2 linked regions of the Oreochromis niloticus genome follow. The protein of the gene in region 1 interacts with the protein of each later gene in a biochemical or structural test. Links are inferred from orthologs where the notes say so. Each region holds a gene or a part of one and is shown in the gene's direction. Other genes may lie near its edges.

Evidence for each region.
Region 2: the proteins of rxraa (region 1) and nrip1b form a complex in vitro, tested with the Homo sapiens proteins (2 studies listed by BioGRID). The link is inferred for Oreochromis niloticus from reciprocal best matches to the Homo sapiens genes RXRA and NRIP1.

Annotation. Positions count from the first base shown.
Region 1 is NC_031972.2:29,164,390-29,172,715, forward strand, and holds the start of rxraa (retinoic acid receptor RXR-alpha-A), read left to right. Parts: upstream 1-4,898; 5' UTR 4,899-5,199; coding exon 5,200-5,434; intron 5,435-8,326. UniProt on the Homo sapiens protein: Receptor for retinoic acid that acts as a transcription factor.
Region 2 is NC_031975.2:3,168,607-3,176,052, forward strand, and holds the start of nrip1b (nuclear receptor-interacting protein 1), read left to right. Parts: upstream 1-4,273; 5' UTR 4,274-4,610; intron 4,611-7,446. UniProt on the Homo sapiens protein: Modulates transcriptional activation by steroid receptors such as NR3C1, NR3C2 and ESR1. Also modulates transcriptional repression by nuclear hormone receptors.

The DNA of each region.
Region 1 (8,326 bases):
ATTTTAAAGGATGATTTCCTTTATTAAAGGAATAAAGCTCCAAACTTACTTAGGGCCCAAGCCCTACCTTGAAAAGCAATTGCCGCTATTGTTAAATCAAAGCTAACCACATTTGTTTCTTGGAAAGCTGAGTTCAATTTCACTAGTCACAGACGTGTTGAAATCACGTACATAGAACCTGTCCGATAAAGTGAAGTAGGCTAAAAGATCGCAAAAAGCAACCCATCATGCCACGAGCTAAAGAAATCCAAAAACGGGTAAGAAACAAAGTCATTGACATTTATCAGTCTGGATAGGTTTATAACACCATTTCTGGGACTCCAGCGAACTACAGCGAGAGCCGTTATCTACAAATGGAGAAAACTTGGAACAGTGGTGAACCTTCCTATGAGTGGCCAGCCTACCAAAGAATGTCTCAATGGTCACGAAAGAACCCAGAACAACATCTAAAAAAGTGAAGGCTTCACTTGCCTAAGTTAAAGTCAGAATTCATGATTTAACAATTAGAGATTTGGCAAAAATGACAAAAACAAAACACTGCTGGATTCTGATAATTCTTGAAATCAAAAAGAGGTAAAAAAAAAATGCAAATATGAATCTCATATTTGCTAAAAAAAAAAAAAAACATTGGTGGTTCCCATCAAGATGGAAAAATATTCTATTGACGACGAGACAAAACTCAAAGATTTTATTCCTGTTACGTCTGGTGTAAAGCTAACACAGCATTTAAAATTAAAAGCGCATCGTACCAACAGTCAAACATGTACCTGAATGATTTGCTGCAACACACCAGCAAGTATACCTCTGAATCACTAAAAAAAACCCAACCCAAAACCAAATGAAGGTTTGAGAGTGGTGCTAGAAAACCCTCCAATATGGTTGAATTAAAACAATTCTACAAAGAGTGGGATGAAATTCCTCCACAGCAATGTGAAAGACTAATTGTCTGTTATCCCAAATGCTTGATTGCAGTTCTTGCTGCCAAGGCAGGCACATCCAGTTATTAGGTTTAGGGGGGCAATTGCTTTCTCATTTACAGAAAGGTTGGTCCTGCGACTGACTAATGACTCCAAGGTGTACCCCACTGTTTGCATGGATTAAAAAAGAAGGAAAAAAATTAGGAAGTGACAAATACTTTTCACAGTACTACAGACTTGGTGTATAAGTGAGTATTTAAATTTTGTTTAATAAAAATAAGAAAAAATTGTAAGTGATAGGGTTGAGTGGTATGTTAAAAGTTTCCAGTCAGCCAATGTTGGTCCATCCCAGTGTATTTGCCAACAGCTAATGTATTTATCCTCTTAACCCTAGTATGCTCTATCAGTTTACTTTTGCTTTTCAGTGGGCAAAGAAAAAAAAAAGGCCTTTAAGTTGGTGGAAAAACCCGAGCTGAAGCCTCTTTTGAAAGTTTTGCTGGGCAGCATGTGTTTGTTGGCAGACTGCCAGTGAAAATGCAAGAGAGGGGAAGTCAGCAGACTGGCTGTCTTCTGTTCACTGTTGTTCAGATTGACTCTGTCAGGCTGGCCTTTGAGGCCTGTAATCCAGGTGGTCTGTTCTTTGCGGCGCCCTCTTCCCTCCTCATCCTCCCTCTCTCCCTTCACCTCCGCTGCCCCGTGCCCACAAACACGCCTGGCATCAGCGGCTTCCTCTCTGAGCAGTGGTGTCTTCCTTCCACCAATCACATGGCTCTGCAGTTATGGGCACATTGGTGTAAGCCAATGAACGACACCTGTTTCTCTCAAGAGTGCTTCTACATGCCAGTCATAACACCCACTTTATTTGGCCTCTGTCACAAAGCCAATCTCAACACGTAATTCACGGGCATCCAGGCCATGAGAGGCACAGGCAAGAAGAAATATGGATTTTAGCGATGGGGAAAGGACCTTCTCGAAAATTACTTTCCCAGCACAAATGTCACAGAAAATCTGTGTTGCATCATTGCATCATCGGAAAAAAGTATCATGCAGTAAAGGAACCTTTTGATAGGACTGAGGGATCATTGTTCGGTGGTAAGAGTGGAAGAATTACTCATTTTCTGCCTGAAAGCCTGAAAACTTTTCCCATGTTTCTGTGTACACCTGAGACTAGTCGAAGGGATCACATGTTTTAGCTTTTCCAACATGTATATGTTTTATTTTATTACAAAGATTTTCCTTTTTCAAGCCTGGTTAAAAAACATATAGCAACTGTCACTTAAGAACTGCTGCAGTGTTGTCAGTCGATGCCATTCAGATTTCTTTGCACTGGCCAAATGCAAACAAATTCCTGAAAGCTTTGAAAAAGTCTTTGTGCTTCACCAAATAGCTTGTTATAAGGGTTTATTGTCTGTCGTTTTAATTTTTTCTTAAGGTCAAGATTATGTATCAGATGTCTGCTTTTACACAGTAACTTTTTTTTTCTTTTCATTAAAGTAAAATGACAGCAACCTGTGAATTTATGTGGTAAGTTTAATCTGGCTCTTCAGCCTTCGGTTTATAATACTGTACTAAAACCTCACCTTAATAATACAAGTATTAAAGAAAACATATAAATTGTATTTCTTTACCAAAATGGAGAAAAAAAACATTTGCATTAAAAAAACAATACTTTTTTTGCTTAAACTGTTGGTTAAATATCTGACCCTATTGTAACCTACTCAATCTGACAAGACTTAATTTAAACTGGTTGCTTGATGGAGGTCATGGTTCACTAATGTTATGTTTATACGTTAAACATAACATTAGTCTATTGTTCTTCCCATGATTCTATTTTTTTCTTAATCTATATTCTGTTTTATTTGGTATGTCTTCTGCTTTGACTGTGTTATTGTACAGTACTTTGGTCAACAACTGTTGTTTTTAAAAGTGCTATATAAATGAATAAACTTGAAACTTAAAACTGAAATATTAAGCAGGGCTGTGAATCTCTTGGAAATAAAGAAGCACTTGCAATTGTATACAAGCATTATTGGAGGTTTTGCTTTACCTTAACTCCCCTTAAATTTGGCTGGTCTTTGGCTTTTCCATCAACATTACACATTGTTTGGGGTGTTGGGCTGCATATTTTTTTTACATTGTTCCTTGAAAGCCACAATCTTCTGGACTTTCCAAGAATGATGTATAGGAAGGCAGAGAAATAACAACCTTTGTGTGATTAGTGGTTTTGTTGCTCTATTGGGGACTTTTTTGTTTAACATGAACTTTTTAGAGTCCATTGTAACCTGGACTAAAATAAATATTCAATGGTGATTTTTTTATCTTGTGATTTTGATTTGAAAAGAATTCGGCTAGAGTATGGTATACCAATTGAAAATATGCAAGAATATATTTTGGGGGCAGTTGTGGATGACAAATAAATCTTCAGTGACCAAGGGCAGCTACCCGCCTTGAGTTGCTGAAGTTGATAACAGTAAATAATAGTCCTAGTTGCATGAACACAGCTTTTAGAGTCATTTCTATTACATTCTTGTAAAATGACCTTGACTGGGCGCTTTAGAAAACATGCAGAGCATACATAAGTGCATAGAATCAGTCAGTGGCAGATTCCTCTCCAACACCTCAAGAGGCAACCGACTCCATTGTGTTTTTGTTTTGCTGATTCTGTGTAAACACAGGCTAGTAGTGGTAACCGCATCCCTGGCAAAAGAAATGGGTTTTATAATGAAAGAACATGTTCAAAAGCACAAACATTAAGAAATAGAGAGAGAGAGCGGGAGACAGCAAGGCTTGGAAGCTGATCGAGGTATCAGTAGAGAGGAAAAAGAACTGGCAGCACTCTAACCAGTGTGTCTTCCCAGGACATAAAAGACTTGCTGCTCCGAACTGGGATTATCCTCCACCTCTGGGGAGTCCCTGTGATGAGCAGCAAAGGCAGAATAAAAGATGTGGAAAGAAATTGAAGGAAACAGTAACAGAGGAGAGGAAGTATGGGGAAAAATTAAATGTGAAAGCATGTGCACTGGGGAGGGGTAAGACACATGCATCTATAGACTCTGATCCACATATATGCCAGCTCCACTTACGGACCTGCAAATACTCAAGATGCTTCAGTTGACCATGTTTGTGCTTTCTTCTTTTTTTTCTCTTTTTTTTTTCTGCAACCTCTCCTGACCCCATGAAAAATGGCCCATGCTGGTAATTCAGCCATGAGCCATGTCCCTGTTTGATCTAGCGTCTTCCTGAAAATCATCTCTCCAGGCTCAGACATTTTAAATCAAATGTGATCCTTCCTTTCTAGCAGAAAATACTTGTTGGAGATGCAGATTGCAAAGGTCTACACTGCAAAAACACAGATCTTAATGATACCTGAAGAGAAATCATTTTGTGGGTAATGGGTTTAATGCATTCTTTCTTTGCACGTAGTCCACCTCTCCAACATGACATTGAAATTCAGCATATTAGTCTTTGCAAAATCTTGCTAATAGGCTGACAAAAACATAGCATATGGCCATGACAGCAGCTTGGCTTTCACCTTGATTTAAGAACAATTGTCTCTTTCATGAAATTTCCAAAGTTGTCGCTTGTATTCTTCTGGAGCAAATTTGCTACACAGGGCAGTGTTTAGATTTTCACTTGCTTAAAGAAAATATGAGTTTTAGAACCAGCAGTGTCACTAAGCAGCTCTTTTGGGACTTGGCAGCTGAATTAATTGTTGGTTTGAAATAAAGCATTCAGGGGAGAAACGTTACGCTGTTGACACAAGCTGTTTGAGTTGTCCATCTGACTTATTTTGTTAATAATGGGCCAAAAGGTAATTGATTTTGTGTGTACTGGACAGACTGTCTGTGTGCAATAGAGCAAGAGAAGGGGGCGGATGGAGGCGTGGGGGTGGTAAGGTTGGGCCTCAGTCAATGCAACTATATTTTCATGATTTTGCTTGTTTGTCTTGGATACAGCGTGCCTCCGATCCTCTGGCCTGCAGAATTTTGTGTTTGTTTTCGGTGAGTCAATGCACTGATCCAAAGTACACTCCTCCAGTGACAGAACTGACAGAACACACATGCGTGTTCTTCAGGACATACAACCTCTGGTCTTATTGGAGCGCGTGTGTTCCCACCCAGTTTGCGAGGCCTCTTCCTGCAGCACGTACACACATAGTTTCCCATCACCCTCCGAGCGGCCCCCAGTGTTTTAAGCTTTCTCTGAGAGACTTTCTCGCACTTTGTTTTCCTCCCCCATTTGAATCTCTGCTATCTATTTATGAATCTCTAGCGCTCATTCTATGTGTTCATCCATCGATCAGTCCATCTCTACCCATCATTCCCGTTCCCTTCATCTCTGGCTTGTTTCCCAGAGGAAGAAGGAGAAGGAGTGGGGGGTGGGAGTAGGGCAGTTCCAGCTTACGGCCAGCAGCCAGCTCCTTCTCCATTTGGATTTCATTACAAACAGACCAGCACCTCACAGCTTACAACAAAAGAATAATAATTATAAGGGCAAAAATGAGAAGAAGAAAAAAGGTGGGTGGAAGACATCTAAAAGGCTTGTAATACAGTCAGTATATTTAATCTTTCCGCTGGGGCGGGAAATAAAGCTTTGGTGTTGATTCTGTGTCTCAGAACTAAATGTGAACCATATACTTTTGTATTTTTGTATTTAGATTTGTGTAAGAGGACAATTACCATTTTTATAGGCTGAATACTGACTCGGCAAATGAATGCAGGGAGGGTGGACATAAGGCTCTGTATGGGTCAACATCTGCCTTGGGCTAATTCCAGGTGTTGCAGAGAGTAAACAGCCACATAAACAGAGCCTAGACACACAGTGTTCAGCTTTTGAAGTGTTTCAGTGGTTCCTTGACACAAATGGAAGTCGTCAATCGCCCACTGTCTCCAAACACGTTAGGAAGTGACAAATTCCTCATCCTGATGTCACCAAAGGGTAGGGACAGTTTGTTTTTGCCATCGTGGTAATTGGTATAATTAGTCATCAGTCACTGATGGCTTTATGACTCCAACGTCAATACAAGACACACCTTGTGGAACAATTTCACTTCCACTCCTCCACATATAATGCTGTATTTTTTTTAATCTTGTGCATTTACATTTATTTTCCCTGCTAATGGTGTTTGTATTGACATTTTAAAGACTGCTCTTTATTATTTACTTAGTTGTGATGACTTTTTTCTGACTTTTATTGCAGAAATTGCAGAAAAAGATCAGTTAAAGTTTCTGGATTCGTTTTTGACTAGCCTGAAGGTGAAATACAGAAATCCATTCAGCTGTTTAGTTGGTTTAATTATATGACTTTATTATTTGTAGTGTGGCTCGCAGTGTTCTTAAAAAGAAATACTGGCCACACAGACCTCAGATAACTTTAGTTTGTGTAGTTGCACGGCATCATTGAGCAACCATTTATTATTTTTAATGTTGACACTGGTGCTTTTAGGCCCCTCTTATAGTCTATGCGCAAAAATAAACCACTTTGTTCTCTAATATTTTTCTGAGTCTAAATATATATATATATATATATGTATGTACTTCATGCAAAATTTTCAAGGTTTGTTTTAGTGTTTTTCTTTCTTTGTCGTTCCACAAACCATTTTCATTTTATTTCATAAGCGTAACCTTGCAGAAACGTGACCCTTGTTTGAAATAATGAATGATGAATCATTATGCCCAGCTAGATATGAAAGTAAAAAAAATTGATCTGATTCTTTGTACCTGGTCTTGCTAAATTGCATTCAGTCATGTGCTTTGCTGTCAGCTCATTATCTCTCTGTGTTTGTGTTTGTAAGTATATACTCGGTCGTGCGCCTTCAAGTGTGTTTTGGCAGTGAGCAAGTCCGATAAGGGCCTGTGTTGTGATATTCATCTCTGGGCTCAACAAAAGAGGAAGTTCAATGAATCAGAAGCTTCCTGGCTGTGTTGTATTTCCCCAGTTACATGTATTCATAGCAGTCTTGGGCATGAAACCTTAAATGTCCTTAAAAGGTTTAAATACTTTTTTTTTTTTTTTTGCTTTGCAAATCTTAATCATAGAGATTTATAATATAATAAAGCAGGTGGTAAAGGTAATGTTTTCTCATCATCTTTTGTCTGCGAACTTCAAGAATCGCCTCCAAAACCTCCACATTATCTGATTAGGGTCATTCAAAAAGCCTGTCAGTCTTTACTGTCTTGAATATTACTGACCTCTTTTGACTTACTAAGCTGCTGTGGTAATGAATACTCAAACAGAGCCGAAGAACATCAGTTGCAGTGTAATCTTCTTCACCCGACAGCTGCTCTGCAGGCTGCAGAAGTAATTATCGCTCAATGCCATGTCTTTGATCAACCACTATTGTCAGTTGCCGTCTATGACATAAGCCGCTGACCAAAGCACAGCAAGTGAGATATAGTCACTATGCTGGCTGTCATTCATTTGTTGAGTACATTTCCTTCACAGTAGCTGTGTTGCCTTCATTCTTTGTGCCCTTGGCCTTTTTACTCCTTCTCTTGGTGTACTAGTTTTCTCCTCACAGTGAGAAATGTGTGTAAATGAATTTGGTGTGTAAATAAAGCTACCTGCTATAGGTAGTACTTCCAGTGTGTTTGCCTTTCTTCAAGTAAAGCAAATCACTGAGCATGACTGAATTTACAGTGCAGTTGACAAACAGCCACCAAGTAATTCCATACTTAAATAAAGCAATATGGGAAGGATAAGCCTGGTGATTAGTAGGTTAAAGAAAACACTTTCCAACTTTCCAAGTGCGCTCAGTCACCAGGGTGAGTGGCATTCACATGAGGCTCTAAGCATGGAGCAAGGTTTCTAAAGTGTGTCTTTACCCAGTGAAAAATATGTTAAACTAAATTTGATGCTCACATTTCCTTTTGTAATTTCTCAGGTTGTTCAACCAGTTGCATTTGGCTTTGCTTCACACTCTTCAGAAATGCCTTGTTTAAAGGTTAGACCAGAAAGTTACAGTAGTGTGTGAAATGATCTGTACATAAGAATTTGGCCCAACCTCAGTCAACTGCACCTCTGTGCACGAGCTGGTTGGTGCGCTGCGTGGAGCTCCCAGGGAGAGATGGTATATCACCTCAGAGCTAAAGACAACAATTAGGCCATAACAGCAGATCATAGTGTTGGCAGCCGGGGCACTGTTAGCAATAGTGCCAGTAATCTGTGGCTTAGCTGGCACCTAGCCACATCCAGCCACAGCTTCATGGCCTCTGCAGACACTTAAGAGTCACTGAGGGCACCAGCATGCCCTAGGAGCTGGCTCTTTTATCTACATGCTATCAGGGAAATGAACTGAAATGGGAGGAAAATAAAGCCTGTGAGAGACAGAAAGGAGTAAAAGGGAGGTGGGAGGGAGAGAATTAAGTCTTTAATGAGGGCAGTTGTTTCAGCAGGCAAAAAGAAGCGGG
Region 2 (7,446 bases), on another chromosome or scaffold:
ATATTTAAATAATATCGTATTTCAAAATGACAGCTCAGCACTTTTGAACACACTAAAGAAGACACCACGTTAACGAGACAATAAAGTCAGTCTTGTAAAACAGCAACTTCCATTTCCTAATGTCTTTCAAACACTTGGTAAGCTTCCTCTTTTTTTTAAAGCTTTTGCCATTTTCTGCACTTCTATTTTCCTCACACAGCTGCAACCAGTCCGTGAGTATCTGTAACCAACCTTCACCACACAATGTGTTAAATCCCATACATAAATAACATCAAGACAAACTGTTTTCACATGAGGACCTCAGACTTTTTCTTTTTTTTCTTCTTCGTCAGTCACAATCTGTCCCTGTAATTCAGGGTCAAAGGACAGAGTTTCCTGAAACCCATTTCTGTGAAAAGCTTCAGGGGCAAAGTTCAGCGGGTGCTGCTCGGCATGGAGGGGGAGGGGGAGGGAATGAAAGGGAGGATATTGTATCTCCATTTATGTGGCATTCGGGGTCAGAGTTCAAAGATGAAAGGTCACTCCAGTTCAGAGGTTACAAGGTACAAGATACCGTCCAGATTGCCGAGCGGAGCCTGCTCATCCAACTTTTGACGTCTCAACGCAATCGCGATCCTGAGCGGCACTCGTGGCGCAATCAGACAGCAACAATAAAAACAGCAGCAACATCAACTTTTTATGAATAGCACTTTGGCGAGGACTTTGCTCAGACTTTTAACTGCTGCTGTACTCAAAATGCAAATTGCAGGTAACACCTATTGTGAACAACAGCCTTGTAAAAGAAAACTATCCAATTTACCTGACTGACATGTTGAGTGCCGCCTCTGTTTATACTACTGGCAATGAACTGAATTACTGTTTAAACACCACAGTGGGGTTACCGCAGGTTAGAAGGCACAGTATCCAGCTGGCTGAATACAAGTGGCCAATAACACAGCATGATGTGATAACACAGCAGTGGGAGGAGGAGGAGGAGCAACACCCCCCAAACACACACACACACACAAACACACACACACACACATACACACATACATCCTTCTCTCTCGCTCACATTCTCACACACACACACTGCCCCCCCCAAACCTGGATTTGAAAAGGGGAAATAGAGACAGGGATGGCTGGAAGTAGGTTATGTTGTTGTGTTCTCATTCACCAGAACACTAATGTTCCCCAGGTCCTTAGAGACATTTTGTTCAAGGCCATGTTGAGTTGACAGACTGCAGGCCAGTGGACCAGATAGCACAGATTAGCACAAGATGACACAAAGAAAAGAGGGGGTTATTTGGAAGCATAAGGTGCGCAATCATTGGTTTAGATTTACAATGTTTACAATCATGACGAGCGAGAAACATTTTAAAAGTTTCCATGAGCGCATCTTCTGCTCGGCGAATGGCACCCTGCTTCACAGTCAAGTGACACACCTGGGAGACATCTCAGCATCATATCCAAAGGTGCTGTGATGCCATTTATGTTGTTCTTTTCCCCACTTGGTCACTGTGAGGCAGACAGTACAGCTCCAGCACTATGACAGTCTCATATGGAGCAACCTAATGATTTGTTTAGGGATGCTCACAACAAGGTTATTTAGGGCACTTCTTACTTAATCCTCCATCCAACTGAAGGGCTATAATTGAACCTGCTTTAGATGGCTAGATTAAGAAATGTTAGTCTTTTAGATTTACTGTAGTCTGCCTGTGAACGTGGACTGTTTCTGTTAACTCATCTAAGGGGAAGAGCAATTTTTATTCCAAAGCAAAATGTGAATGGTGGATTATCTTTTACTACAATGCTATTTTTAAGGAAAATTTAAAAAAGCACTTCCTTAAAGGGGAAATTCACCAATTTAGTGTTGCACTTTGACAAAGTAAGGAGACTTGAAGTACTTGCTTTCAGGCTCATACATTTCCTGTACTGCTAATTTCTCTCAATACATTTTAACCAGACTTCTTTGGCCACTTAAGTGTTCCAGGCATGAGCATCCAGGCTTTATGTTCTAATCTTTCTCATTTTTCCCCTTTTTCTTTTTTTGTTTTTTAACTCTTTCCCCCGCATGTCAATTCTGGCATTGCCATATTACATATGCACTTATGTGAATAACAATAGAAAATAATAAATGAGAAAGAAAATAAAATGTGGCACTCCTGGTTACAAAGAAACCAGTTTTTGTGCAGTAAAGCATAAAAGTCCCTCTTTAAGAATTTTTTTTAAATTATTATTATTGTCATTTTAAAGGACCTTTTGGAGGTTGTTATATATAGGTAAACCAGCTGCTGTTACAATTACAACTGCAACTGTTACCACTGTGGTTAATGTTAATGTAGCATTTGTTACTACAAGCATGATTCTGTCAACCCTTTGGAACAACTTATATTGATAGTATTAAATAATTAGATTACAAATTATACATCCAAATACAGTTAAATAAAACAAAGGCTTTAAGAAGGTAACACAGGCTCATGCCAAATACTGAACAAGTGGCAACCCTGAGGACTACAAAGTGAAGCCAGTGCCAAAAACTGCAGTTCTTCTAGTGACCACATGGGGCTGGCTCCAATAGTGAACCAATAGACTCCCATATTAAAATGTCCACTTTTGCAACATTAAGAAAACATTTTTTTAAACTTTATAATATGTTTAAAATATCAGGTTTAGGCTTAAATTTAGGGGCCTGGGATGTGCCACTATAAGCAGCTATTACCTGCACTTGTGTGAATTATTGAACTCGACCTCTCAGCCATATTTGCACCATGTTGGTGCCTTATGGAACATTTTTAATTGAATTATCAGGCGAATAATATGTTGTGCTGCATGGTACTGGCCGTCCACAAAGTTATTGTTATTGAAATTCTAGTGTATTAGTCTGAAACCATCAACCACCAAATCAAAAGTCAAGTTTGCGAGCTAGCTAATAACATCACTCCACCGCTTTGTCCAAGAAGGGTCACTTCAAAACGGACATGGCTGAAATGCTAACACTGAGGGTTCAATATGTAGAATCCAGTTAATATACTTGGACTAGGGTAAGGCTAGCAAGCAGCATTCATAAATTGTATGGGTGCAACAACACATACATTTATGTGCTTATTAGCCCTAAGTCACAGGCTAACAAAAGCCAACAGTGGACTTGAGATGTCGTGTTCAGTGACTTCAGTTAGTGAAGGTGAGGCCTTGCAGAAAGGCCCCACCTGTTAAAGAAAGCACCCTCACCCCTAATGCTAAGCTACAGAAAAAAGATCAAGAAAAAAATCTCCCAGCATAATAGTTACAATGGTGAACGCTATCTGCAGAGGCCAACCTGGAAAAATGGTGATTTTTATTGTAAAGTTTTAATAAGGATGTTAAACTGGGAATTGAGGCAGCCTCAAGTGGCCATTTGAGGAATTACACTCTCTATTTATATAGACATGCTGTAATAAAAAAAAAGTGAAGCAAAAATAATAATAAAAAGAATGAATCTGAGAATGGTCGCTCACTCTGTGGGCAATATTCACTTTTAAGAGAAAAGAGCTGTATTTTGTATGTAAGCATTATGTAGCAGCAGGTAATGGATAACAGGTATTGATTATTATATAACATTTTACTACAGTATGTTTCTAACTAACCAGGCAGCTCATTCTCTTTCTTTTGACAGTTCTTTCGTTAAAGTTAGAACACATTTTGGTTCAGCTTGAAGAAAAGCAGGTGTGAAATGTAAAAATGAGATCAGAGGTCAAACGTGACATGATATTTGGATGCAAGCTATAATGTGATATTTAGAATCTCCATATACCGGTATCATTTCTTATTTGTTGCCAATACAAACACGGGCAGTAGGTTTTAAAGAAAACAGGCATTTTATGAAAGTTTTCAGCCAACAAATTGTTAACTTGACCTCGAAGACCTTTGTGGATGTTGGTGGAAATTTTGGATTATTAACATGACCCCACTCCACACACCTACAAAGTTTTATCAGCATTTATTCATAACTTTTTGAACATTCTTTTTTAAAGTAAGACAGAATGAGACGTAACCAAAAAGATCCCCTCCTTGGTAGGTCATTTTAGCCCAGCTCATTCTTAATAATTTAAATGATTAAATAATAATCTGCTAATTAAGCATTTCGATTGTATGTCCCTTGGTGTGAGACAAACCGTAGGCGGTGTATATGACTTAGTTTAATATGGAAAAAAACAGCGTTAAGACCATTTGCTGTACATCTAATGTTAAAAAGCGCTTCCTTCTTGGCAGAGGGAGTATGTGGGCAGCGGCGAAGGCTTGTTCCTTTAAGGGTGGTGTCAGCGGCAGGCGGAGGAGGAGGAGTGTAGCTGTCTGCGCTCACTTCTCCACAGCGAGGGGACTCCGAGAATAAACAATTTCCACAGAATACGCGCTCCACACCTCGGCTCGCTCACAGGCGCAGCATTAATTTGTAGAATTAAAAAATCATATCAAATCAAAACGAGGCTTATTAGAAATTATTTCGGACTTGATTTTTTCCTCCCTCGAAGCCTGCCTCGCCATTTCTGCTTCCTGCCAAAAGTGTCGCGACCGTTTTCATTGGATTTGCCTCCTCCTGTCGAATGATAACGATGCGCCTCTCCGGCTGACTGTGGGGTGGACGAACGCAGGTAAGGGAATCTGTACACGAGCGCACTGTCACGTCTGGACAATGTTATTATTATACTGCTGCGGGTGGAAACGTACACGGGTGCGCGTATGTCGGGCAGTGGTTAGATCGTGCGCTTTTTTTCTCTGTGTGTGTGTGTGTGTGTGTATGTGTGTGTTTGTGTCGGGGATCGGTAACGCTGTTCGTGTGTCGCACGGCGGCCAGGGGCGCTTATGGATGTGTCGCTGAAATCGCTGCATAAAGAAGCGGGGGATAAACCTGCCCGTGTGGCTTTCCATTTAGCCGCACAGCCGCTCAGTGACGGTAGCCAGTGCCCGTATCCTTCGGATCAGTGGCTCAAATTAGGCCCACGATAGAGGCATTTCTCTATAAATGTTTCTCCCCATTCACGCACACACCGCCTCTGAATCTCCTGAAACCCTCCTGCTAATTTTCACAGTGTATTCTGGGCTGTCAGTCTGCTTGGCAGCACGAACACCGAATGACTAATGTCACCCGTTGGCTTAATTTAATAACAGTGCGCACCGTCTTCTGCTTGGAGCACGGCAGCTGTAATGTAACGTTAGTACAGTTAATGTAGTTCATCACGTCGGGTCAAAACACTGCACAGCCCCCCATCTTGTAGTTTTAGCACCACCAAAGGGAAACGCTTCACAGTTGCACCGGTGTGTAGATTACAGTTGGCAAGTCTTAAGGGATTTTTAATGGCCCTCCGAGCGTAAAGGGTCTTATAGTTGACTCATATGTGATTGTTTCAAGGTGTTAAAAGCCACCTGTGTCCACTGGGTGTAAAAATGAATTTGGGTTGAATATTCATTGAGAAAGACTTTGCATGTGTCACTGCAGTAGCACTCAGGGGAAAGCAGGGACAGTGACACTAACCCCTGAGCATGTACAGTAAACACAGTGTAGGCGAAGGTTGTTAAAAATGTTGCAAAGCAGTGTTGCTACAACAACTTTATTACACAGTCAGAATCAAGGTAATGCTTTTTTTAATGCACTCAAAAAGGTGCGCACTTGATGTGTGGCTTAGTTGGTGATTCCCATTAATACTCGTTGTTTTTTTGCTTGTTACTTACACCACCTCTGAAAATGTTGAATACCTTTACCCTCCCCAGGGTCCTTTGATAGAGATTAGTCTAGTCTGCAGACTAAAACACCCATCATTTCAAGTTGGTCTGTTGCAGCCTGTCACATCACCTGGCCGTCATGTCAGATGTGTTTTGATAGATCTCAAAGGCTTGGATGTTTTCTCGGCGAGAGTTTCTGAGTGGCCTTTATGTAGGTGTTCCTTTTTTTCACAAATATCTTATTGCTTCATTGGACTTTGGATCCGTGTGGAGGCAAAAGGTCAGGGGCTGAAGTTTTCTGAGAGTTACCGGAAAGAGGGCAGAGTACAAGCTGCAGTTCAGCTTCTGAAATAACCTGTTTGGATGTTGGAATATGAGGCTTTTTAAAAAAGGTTCAGTTAATTTTCTGCCTTCCACATAACTGCTTAGGCTACCAATCTAAAGTAACGCAGAGAAGAGTCAAACTTTCTTAAAGCCTTCTAAATACTGCCTGTGTCTGGGGGTCTGTCTCTTAGCCTCTCTTTTGTTGAACATTTAAGCTGCTTAATTATTTGACCTGAACTTACACAAGATGTTCAAGGTAGTTCAACTTGTCCTCTGTTGCCACAGATAACGTAAAACCTCCACGTTTATAGCCCAACTTTTTAAGTTGTGCTTTGTGAGTGTTTGAGTGTCTGGCCTGCGTGCTGTAATTCAAAGGATCCTCTGTGTTGGACGGGGCTTGATTTGACTCTGCCATCTGCTGTTGTCCCGGGAGCTGCTGTTGAGTGATGTGCAGTAGCCTGCAACAGAACCAGAGGACATTCAAATGGCCAAATGCAAATGATGCCGAGGCTGCTCAACAGTCACAAGACTGGACTCTGAACTCTCTCCTCTCTTGTCCACTGGCTGCCTTTCATTACTGCAGAATCTTATCTGCCATCAAAACACTGCTGCCGCCGCCGCCGCTGCTGCTGCTGCTGTATGAAAGTGGCAAGTTTTGACATGAGAGTGTGTGTGTGTGTGTGTGTGTGTGTGTGTGTGTGTGTGTGTGTGCTCTTGCAGGTGTGTTCTGCACATCTCTTTTGCACATCGTGGAAAACACAAAGTAATTTCAGAATCCCCCTGCTTGTTGCTACTTTGTGACTTTGAATTATGTAAAGGAGAAATCGCTGTAATAAAATGTATTTTTTTTCACAGGATGACTCCACAGAGTACTTGCCCAGCCACTTACCTCTACTAACAGCTTCCCTAACTACTGCCACTGTGCCAGCTCAAACTCTTACTGTTTGGAAATCTGTCATAGACCACAGCACGAGCACAGGGTGGACAGAAATTGAGAGTGGCGTCCGCTTTTTGATTGCTGAGATACTCGGCAGCAAGAAAAAAAAAAAAGAAAAACTAATGTGCAATCTACCAGAACAAGTGTCATGCATTTACTGCAGAGTTTTTGATTTATTATAGACCTGGGAGATGCCCAGCACTTGTGTTGTTGGCCACCGAACATTGTTCAAGGGCACTTTGACAGTAGATGTGAGGAGCAGAAGTGCATTTCTCATCTACTTACAGGCCCGCGCTCTTGTCGGCCCACTGAGGATTCAAAACCAGACACCTTTGGGCCACAAACTCATTTCTCTAATTGTTTGGGCTCCATAATGCCAGCGCGGGGCGTGCATTAAACCAAATCATTTTATTGTTCCATTTATCGTTTGTTTGTTCAGCAGACACTCTTCTAATAACAATGGTCAGAAGTGCTGCTGTAACAGGAAAAAGATTTACACGTGACAG